Linked DNA regions of Saccharomyces cerevisiae S288C. The main gene of each other region encodes a partner of the protein of the gene in region 3 in a complex. Each region holds a gene or a part of one and is shown on either strand. Other genes may lie near its edges.

Evidence for each region.
Region 1: ARC15 (region 3) and ARC18 share a complex: the UniProt entries of both Saccharomyces cerevisiae proteins name them as parts of the arp2/3 complex.
Region 2: ARC15 (region 3) and ARC40 share a complex: the UniProt entries of both Saccharomyces cerevisiae proteins name them as parts of the arp2/3 complex.

The regions. Positions count from the first base shown.
Region 1 is NC_001144.5:861,218-863,766, reverse strand, and holds ARC18 (Arc18p), read left to right. Parts: upstream 1-1,512; coding exon 1,513-2,049; downstream 2,050-2,549. Other genes in the region: Rho family guanine nucleotide exchange factor ROM2, read right to left, coding at 1-1,053; Hsp70 family ATPase SSQ1, read right to left, coding at 2,242-2,549. UniProt on the Saccharomyces cerevisiae protein: Functions as a component of the Arp2/3 complex which is involved in regulation of actin polymerization and together with an activating nucleation-promoting factor (NPF) mediates the formation of branched actin networks.
Region 2 is NC_001134.8:684,938-688,377, reverse strand, and holds ARC40 (Arc40p), read left to right. Parts: upstream 1-1,785; coding exon 1,786-2,940; downstream 2,941-3,440. Other genes in the region: VHC1 (Vhc1p), read right to left, coding at 1-1,477; DAD3 (Dad3p), read right to left, coding at 3,117-3,401. UniProt on the Saccharomyces cerevisiae protein: Functions as a component of the Arp2/3 complex which is involved in regulation of actin polymerization and together with an activating nucleation-promoting factor (NPF) mediates the formation of branched actin networks.
Region 3 is NC_001141.2:243,370-246,196, reverse strand, and holds ARC15 (Arc15p), read left to right. Parts: upstream 1-1,734; coding exon 1,735-2,199; downstream 2,200-2,827. Other genes in the region: U1 snRNP complex subunit SNP1, read left to right, coding at 638-1,540; YRB2 (Yrb2p), read left to right, coding at 2,453-2,827. UniProt on the Saccharomyces cerevisiae protein: Functions as a component of the Arp2/3 complex which is involved in regulation of actin polymerization and together with an activating nucleation-promoting factor (NPF) mediates the formation of branched actin networks.

The sequences.
Region 1 (2,549 bases), on a different chromosome or scaffold from region 3:
TCCAGACCCGTGGACATTATTTAGGCTACTGTGACTGTTTGAAGAGTGATGATGATGATGATGATGATGAGGATCTGAGAATGGGTTGGAAGTTATATCATATTTTTGCGTAGCTTTCCTGCTGTTAGAAGTCTTCGATTGAAAAGATGATGCAATATTTTTTAGAGTAGATGAGTTCAACGACATCGATCTAGATGATATAGAATGTGAATGTTGAGGGTAATTACTGTTACTACTACCCACTTGATAATGTGCGCCATTATTATTAGTATTATTATTATTATGATTGTTAATATTATTATGCTGAATATGCTGGTGATGTTGGTGCTGTTCGTGCAAGTCTTTGGAACTTGGTCTCGAAAAGAAACCAAACCCTTGCAAAGGCGATTTTCTAGCCTGTGTAGGAGTGGTTGATGCACTGCCGGTGGAAAAACTGCTCTGCTTCTTAAGACCAGCAAGTGCTAGTTGCGGGAGCGAAGGTTTCCTCTTAGGCACAAAAGCTGTAGTACTTTTATTCTTCTGGTAAACTTCATTTCTTGGAGACATTGGAGGCAAAGGGTGGTCATTATAGTGCTTGGCTTGTCTACTAGCACTATTACTCGTTGAATATATATGGGACATCGATTTAGCATGAACAATGGGATGGGAAGATGTGGCATCTCTTGCCTTCTTTGGACTGCTCACAGGTGTATTATCAGCACTAGACAAACTTTGTGTATCTGGAACTTCCTTAATATTAGTCTGCTGCGATAAAATGTAATTTGAGCTTTTCCCCTTCATTTCGTTATTTGGTATATCAGAATCATCGATGGCGGCTTCAACTCCAGAACGTCTCCTCTGCTTGGCAATAATGATGTCATTAGCAATGTCTTCAGAAAGCAGAACATTTAGATTCTGGATATTTTCGATTCTATTAGGCAGCAGCTGAGAACTTATGTCTCCGTGCGAGTCACTATCAAAAGTAGCGAAGGAATCTGGCCTCCTTTCTACACCAAATATTTGGGAGTATATGTCATTTCTGTCCCCTAAGCTGTCAACGTTGGTTTCGCTCATAACCGCAGGAAAAGAGATGAATTGTCCAATTAAGTCAGCAGTAATAGAGCACTGTAATCGATTACACTAACAGAGCGAATGAATATATTAATGACCACAAACAACAAATAAAAAAATAGCTATAAAACAGCAAAAAAAAAATCCAGGAAAACCTAATCGGCTCAATACTGTTATTAAATTAGGTCGTCAGTACTCACTGGTCATAATGCCCTTTAAAAACTTTCTTCAAGCCTTAGGACCTCGGACTTCCATACCATTGTTTTCACTATCATTCTCTCTCAGTTTCACAGACTCGGCCGTTACGCGGATCATCCACCACGAACCCCTATCCTTTCCGTTGCGGTTTGGTTTAGTATAACAATGAATAACAATAAATTAAACACTTGGTGCGCAGTAACAAACATCAATAAAGGAAGATTATTGGTATTATCAGTCTCTCCACTCCCAGTATATTAATAAATGCCTGCGTATCACTCGACTTTCCCTGTAGATCCTAACACTGACCGCATGGTAGGGAACTTTGCGCTTCTGCCCTTGAACACTAAGTTCAGGGGTCCTGCATACCCCAGCAATTCCGATTACGATATTATCGACGAGTGCTTGGACCTATTTCGTGCCAATTCCTTCTTCAAGAATTTTGAAATTAAATCACCCGCCGACAGAGTGCTCATCTACGGAATTCTCTTTATCAATGATTGCCTAGCCCATTTGAAAATAACAACGTCATTTAACGAAGCCGTCAAAGTGTTAACCAATGTGGCCTTGGACAACTTTACTTTACCAGGTACACCGGGTTTCCCTCTGAATAATGTTTACCAAGTTCCAGTACAAGATCATAATTCGATGGACTTGTTGAAGACTTATATTCAGCAATTCCGTCAAGAATTGGCAATGAGACTATTAGAAAGAGTCTATAGCTCTACAGATTCTAAGGAATATCCCTCAAAGTTTTGGTTGGCGTTCACAAGAAGAAGATTCATGAACAAATCTCTATAAAGGTATACGGTGCAAGGAAAATAATAAAAACTAGAATTTATGGGAACATAATAATCCACATGCAACTTTATTTGAACCGAAAATTTGAAACGGGAAAGAAATATATAAATGTATAAAGTATAAATACGTCAAAATATGCTTTAATGAACGATATACACGTTAATATACAAGTCTTATTTGTGTTTTGTTCACTTATTTACCTTGATTCTGCTGGTTTTTTGTTGCGCTTTGGAATAATTTTAATGCCCTACCCTGTAGCGCATCCGTAGCTTTTTTTATTCCGTTTACATCAATTGACATGTCATTTTCGTTAGCCTTAAAATTCTTTATAGCTTGTCTCAGAGCTTTGATGTCCTCTACGATATTAGAATACTCTTTTTCGCTAGAAATCAGTTTTTCATATCTTTTAAATAAATTCTCAGTATCACTTATCATAATGTCAGCCTTAGAGATAAGCTCTAACCTTTGCCTGATCAAGTTATCTTGTGCCCTATTTGCAT
Region 2 (3,440 bases), on a different chromosome or scaffold from region 3:
AAAACAAGACAGACGCTGAGATGCCATCAACTATTAACATCGCAACAACAGAAAGTAATGCGCCAATTGCTGTAGTATACCTGTTAAAGTATTTGAAAGAGGGCCTGAAATTGGGAGCAGAGGAAATACCTAATAGGAAGCACGCCAAATTCATGACCACAAACGTCATTAAGAATGTCATTGTGATAAATGTGGCGATTTTATTGACGTCTGAAAACAAACATAGCTGTGTTAGAATCCAAGTAAAAATCAATGAATATAACGGTGAATGAGCAAAAATCTCCAAACCAGGAATAATGTTATCCTTTGCAATTGCTTCTAATACATAAGCAGCACCGAGCATCCCCACTATGATGGAGAAAAGAGAAGTAGCCATTTCACCCATGAATATAACCCACTGAACGGAACTGATCGTCTGTATAATTTGTACTTCATCATATAACGATCTTCTGGGAATGGAACAACCCATGGAGAAGACAACAACGGCATAACAGATAAAAGTGAAAAGTAAACCCCATAAGGTACCCTTAGGAATTGATTTAGAGGGCTTTCTCAATTCACTTGACATTCCTGCGCCCGCGAATATACCAGCTGTAGCAGGAAAAAAAACGCCAAATAAATCATTGAATGTTTCCTTACCTTTGAGTAACGAACCTGCTGCACCTTTTGTTAAGTGAGGGAGCAGGTTATCATGAAAAGTTTGCCATGAAGGACCTGTATAACTGATACCGCCTTCAGTGAATGGCGATCTTATCAATGCAGAAAGTGGAATGGAAAATATAGAAGCTGCCAGTACCAAAAAAAGAATATTCCCTGCTCTTGACACTGTTTGCGAGCCAACAAAAGCCACAGAAAAACATAAGAAAAGAATGACCGTGGCATATGTAAATTCGTGCCAATGCCCTCTTGGTAGTAGCTCTCCCAAAGCTGCAGGTGGCTCGCCTTGAGCAGAATAACCCAAGTTATAGAGTAAAGGTTCGATAATACCCACTGCGTTCATACCTGCATTGAACACCTGCCCTAAGAAAAAGACAAGCCCAATGGATCCACCAAATTCAGGTCCTAAACTTCTTGAAATCATATAATAAGCACCCCCGCCCCTAACAGTCCCGTTTGTAGATATAGCAGATATACTTAACGTGGTGAGAAGATTAATAGTGTAACTCAATAGCAGAAGACCGATGGTGCATATAATACCTAACTGACCCAAAATGAAGCCAAAACGAAGAAACATAAGGATAGACAATACGTTTAAAGCAGTAGGCACAAATACCCCATCGTATGTTCCCAACTTATCTTTGTTTGGGTTATCAGGATCATACTTAGAGGAAACTTTTTGGCATTCAGGGGTCGCCTGATAATTGAAATATGTTTGACTTATTCTCCTTGCAGACAACAGTGAAGAAGATTCATTTGAAGAAGATATTGCCGACGATGGCCGATGCGTACCTGGAATCTGATAAAACCTACTAACCATTAATCCTACAAGAAAGGCCTATTCTTAAAGAGAATTGGCTGGCAAAAACACTGTCTCTATCACTTCTTCGACAACAAGCACAACCATTTCTTAGATTTCCTTGTTACTCTTTAACAACAATGTTGATAATGAATCCTACGTTATCAGTTGCACAATTATCAAAATCTTCTTGTCACCCGCCCGCGCCTTGCCTATAATGAAAAAGGGTCAAATAAGAGCAATCTTGATCGAGAAAGCTTCCAGATTAGAAACAAAGAAAAATAGGAAAAATAAGCCGAAGTAAACGTATATTAGTTGAGAGTCTCCTAATGTCATTTTCCAATTCTAAAGACAAGTCCGTTGTTGCCGTCTACAAGCTGGTCAAAGCGCCAATCTACTCTCATTGCTTTTCTCAAGATAAATCTATTTTAGCCGTTACATGCGAAACAGATTGTCTTGTCTATAGAGTTTCAAACAACACACCTCCCGTTTTATTCGCAACGTTGAAAGATCATGATAAAACCATTACTGCTGTGGACATTTCCATACATGGTCGTATTGTGACTTGCTCCCAAGACCGTAATGCTTACGTTTGGGAGCCATTGAGTGATGGGACATACAAGCCCACGTTAGTACTTCTTCGTATTAACAGAGCAGCTACTTCAGTTACATGGGCACCAAATGGTTATAAGTTTGCTGTTGGGTCCAGTGCTAGAATCATCGCTGTTTGTTATTACGAACACGAGAATAATTGGTGGGTATCCAAGCACATCAAGAAACCCATCAAATCTACCATCAATTGCCTGTCTTGGCATGCAAATGGAGTCCTATTAGCTGCTGGTGGTACTGATGGGTTTATGCGTGTGTTCAGCGGGTTTATCAAGGGTTTGGATTCCAAGGAATCCGTCGCCGGATCACCCTGGGGCCAGAAATTCCCTTTTGGTTGTTTAATCAGGGAGTGGTATCAGGGTTCTTATATCCATGATGTGGAATGGAGAAGTCAGATGGAAAGAATTGCTTATGTAGCGCATGATGGTACTTTGAATGTTGTCGATTACCAATCTCCAGTGCAATCTGTCAATGCTCCGGAAGGTTTACCTTACAGGTCCTTAGTATGGATAAACGACCACGAGATTGTTTGTGGAGGATACTCTTGTCATCCGGTATTGTTCAGCGAAGCCTCTGAAGGCTGGAAATTTGCGAAGAATCTAGACAAATCAGACAATAACAAGTCTTCTGCCTTAACTGCATCTGGTAATACAGACGAGCTGAGTGGTAATAATGATGAAAGTTCAACTTTCGGTATTTCCGCATTGAGAAAGTTTAAAGAATTAGACTTGAAAGGTAAAGTTAGCACAGATGTCCAAGAAAGTGCACATGAAAACGCCATTGTGGAATTAAGACCTTTTGCGGAATCCAACGGCCAAATCACACAAGTCTCTTCCTGTGGGTTAGACGGTAAGATCGTCATTTATACAATTTAAATATACATACGTATATATATATATTGTTATGTGTATTCCCTACCTCATAATACACCTTGAGTTTGTATTGTTTTTTTCTTCACTTGGCATATACAGACTATATTATTACAACTCACAGCACAATGTAGTGTACCGTAAAAAATAAAGCATCAGAATCAATTTCTTGCACCAAACCATTATTTAGAATTGCTACCCAAAGACTCCTGTTCTTGCTTTCTTTGCAAGATAAGCGAGTACACGCTACCTTTTAGCAGTGTCCCAACTAAACCAATTTTGACCTCTATGTCCCTCATCTCCTGTAGTATCTCATCTGGCGATACAGTTTCTTGCTGTGAATGCTGTTGCCTGTGTTGCGAATAGTTTAGTTCTTTTATAGTTTCATCCAGAGCTTTTAGATCTAAAGAAAGCTGTTTGTATTTGTCCAATACTTCTTGCTGTAAAGGTGAAAGATTGTGTTCCATACTGTGACTACAACGCCGTGTATGTTTCACAGCGACTTT
Region 3 (2,827 bases):
ACAACCACTCATTTAGAAGTGGGGGACTGTAGTTCTTTTATGAAGTAACGAAATTTTATGAAGTAACAACAAATGTTGTTAATTGTAATCTTAATAATCTAACATTTAATAAATCTTGACCTTAGACTTTTTTGTCTATTCATAATATGCTGATATTACTTTTCTTAAATATAAATATAATCTATATAATATTATTAACGAAATGTAGGAAGCTAAAAAAAAAAAAAAAAAAAAGAAAGAGACTTTTATGCGTATATTTAGGTACCCCGGTACTTACTTCTGTATATATAAATCAGTGAATCAATACATATTTTTTTTTAATGTTTTGTCCTTATAACGCGACTTATTCAAAAGAAAAAAAGAAGTCCCATGCAAAAATCTTGTCATTATTGCGAATGGATATATCAGTGAGACCTTTTTAAGGTTGTAGGGAAAAGGAAGTACGCTTCATTACAATTTCGTTCATGTCTTGCTCGCCTACTTGTTTTGCTCATAAATCCCATCAGCACCATTGTATGCGCCCTTCGTAGGAAATTAACGCATCTGAAGAAAAAAAGAACTGCAAGATAATGACACACAGCACGGTCATCGACTGTCGAAAGGAAACCTTAAAAAAGTAATCGGCACCTCAACCTTGATGAATTATAATCTATCCAAGTATCCAGACGACGTGTCGAGACTTTTCAAGCCAAGGCCACCTTTATCTTACAAAAGACCAACCGATTACCCATATGCGAAGAGACAAACAAATCCAAATATCACTGGCGTTGCAAACTTACTATCAACCTCTTTGAAGCACTATATGGAGGAGTTTCCTGAAGGATCTCCAAACAACCATCTCCAAAGATACGAAGACATCAAACTTTCCAAGATCAAAAATGCTCAATTGTTAGACCGGAGACTACAAAATTGGAATCCTAACGTTGACCCTCATATCAAGGACACAGATCCCTACAGAACGATATTTATTGGGAGGCTACCATACGATCTTGACGAAATTGAACTGCAAAAGTATTTTGTTAAGTTTGGCGAGATCGAAAAAATTAGGATAGTCAAGGACAAGATAACCCAGAAGAGTAAAGGCTACGCCTTCATAGTTTTCAAAGACCCAATAAGTAGTAAAATGGCATTCAAGGAGATTGGAGTACACAGAGGTATCCAAATCAAAGACAGAATCTGCATAGTCGACATAGAAAGAGGCAGAACCGTTAAATATTTCAAGCCAAGAAGATTGGGCGGCGGCCTAGGAGGCAGAGGCTATTCCAACAGAGACAGCAGGCTTCCAGGAAGGTTTGCAAGCGCAAGTACATCAAATCCCGCCGAAAGAAATTATGCTCCCAGGCTGCCACGCAGGGAAACTTCTTCCTCCGCATATAGCGCTGATAGATACGGCAGTTCCACATTGGACGCGAGGTACCGTGGAAACAGGCCATTGCTCTCCGCCGCCACTCCTACTGCTGCTGTTACTTCTGTATATAAATCTAGAAACTCACGGACTCGAGAGTCTCAACCAGCTCCCAAAGAAGCGCCCGACTATTGAATATAAGTAATACTTAAACTCTGCTACTTGTTGTCTATGATTACCCGCACATCAGTTAATTTGGATACTTTTTTCCCTTTCTCAGACTTTGCCCCTATAACAAAATAAGAGAAAAACAGCCCGCATTTAACACAAGATACTATAGCAAAGGAGACCAGAGAAGACTCAACACAACACACGCGAACGATCAAGCAATGGAAGCCGATTGGAGGAGAATTGACATCGATGCATTTGATCCAGAGAGTGGCAGACTAACCGCTGCCGATCTGGTACCACCATACGAAACTACTGTCACATTACAAGAATTACAACCTCGAATGAATCAATTGCGCTCGCTTGCCACAAGTGGTGACTCTTTGGGAGCCGTTCAATTACTCACAACCGATCCTCCATACAGTGCAGATGCTCCAACAAAGGAGCAATATTTTAAGAGCGTCCTTGAAGCATTGACACAAGTCAGGCAAGCCGATATTGGTAATGTAATCAAAAATTTGAGTGATTCTCAGAGGGACGTGCTGGTAAAGTATCTCTACAAAGGAATGTCCGTACCTCAGGGCCAGAAACAAGGGGGTGTCTTGCTTGCGTGGCTGGAAAGAATTACTCAAGTCAGTGGTGTCACACCTATCGTTCATTATATATCGGATAGAAGAACTGTATGATACTCTGCCCAGTAAAACTTAGTATAAAGAAATATACATATATATACGTAATTTTAAGGGTCGCGTTTGTTATATGCTTTTACTTCAGGCATTTCGCGGTGATGTAGGTATTGAGTTTTTTTTTAAAAAAATTGACATTGTTTGGCGAGGTTGAAGATATAAATGCCTGGATTTTAAAAAGCTCAGTTGCTACTCAAACCAAAATGTCAACAAATCAATTTGCACAAAACAAGTACGCATAAACTTTGAGAGCATGAGTGAGACCAATGGTGGCAATGCAGCCAGGGAAAATTCTGAGGTGAAACAAACTGCAGTTGAAAATCCTATCGATAAACTAGATGGAACTCCTAAGAGACCGAGGGAAAAAGATCAGGATGAACAAGCGGAAGAAACGAGTGACAAATCAGAAGCACCCAATAAAAATGATGAGGAGAAAAAGGAGGAAGGTAAAAAAGACCAAGAACCATCGCATAAGAAGATCAAGGTTGACGACGGAAAGACCGTAGAATCTGGTATTGTGGAAGATGACAAAAAGGAGGATAAATTCGTGTTTGGTGCCGCATCTAAATTTGGAACTGGGTTTGGTGTTGCCAAAAAGGACACGAAAGATGGAGATGCAACTACCAGT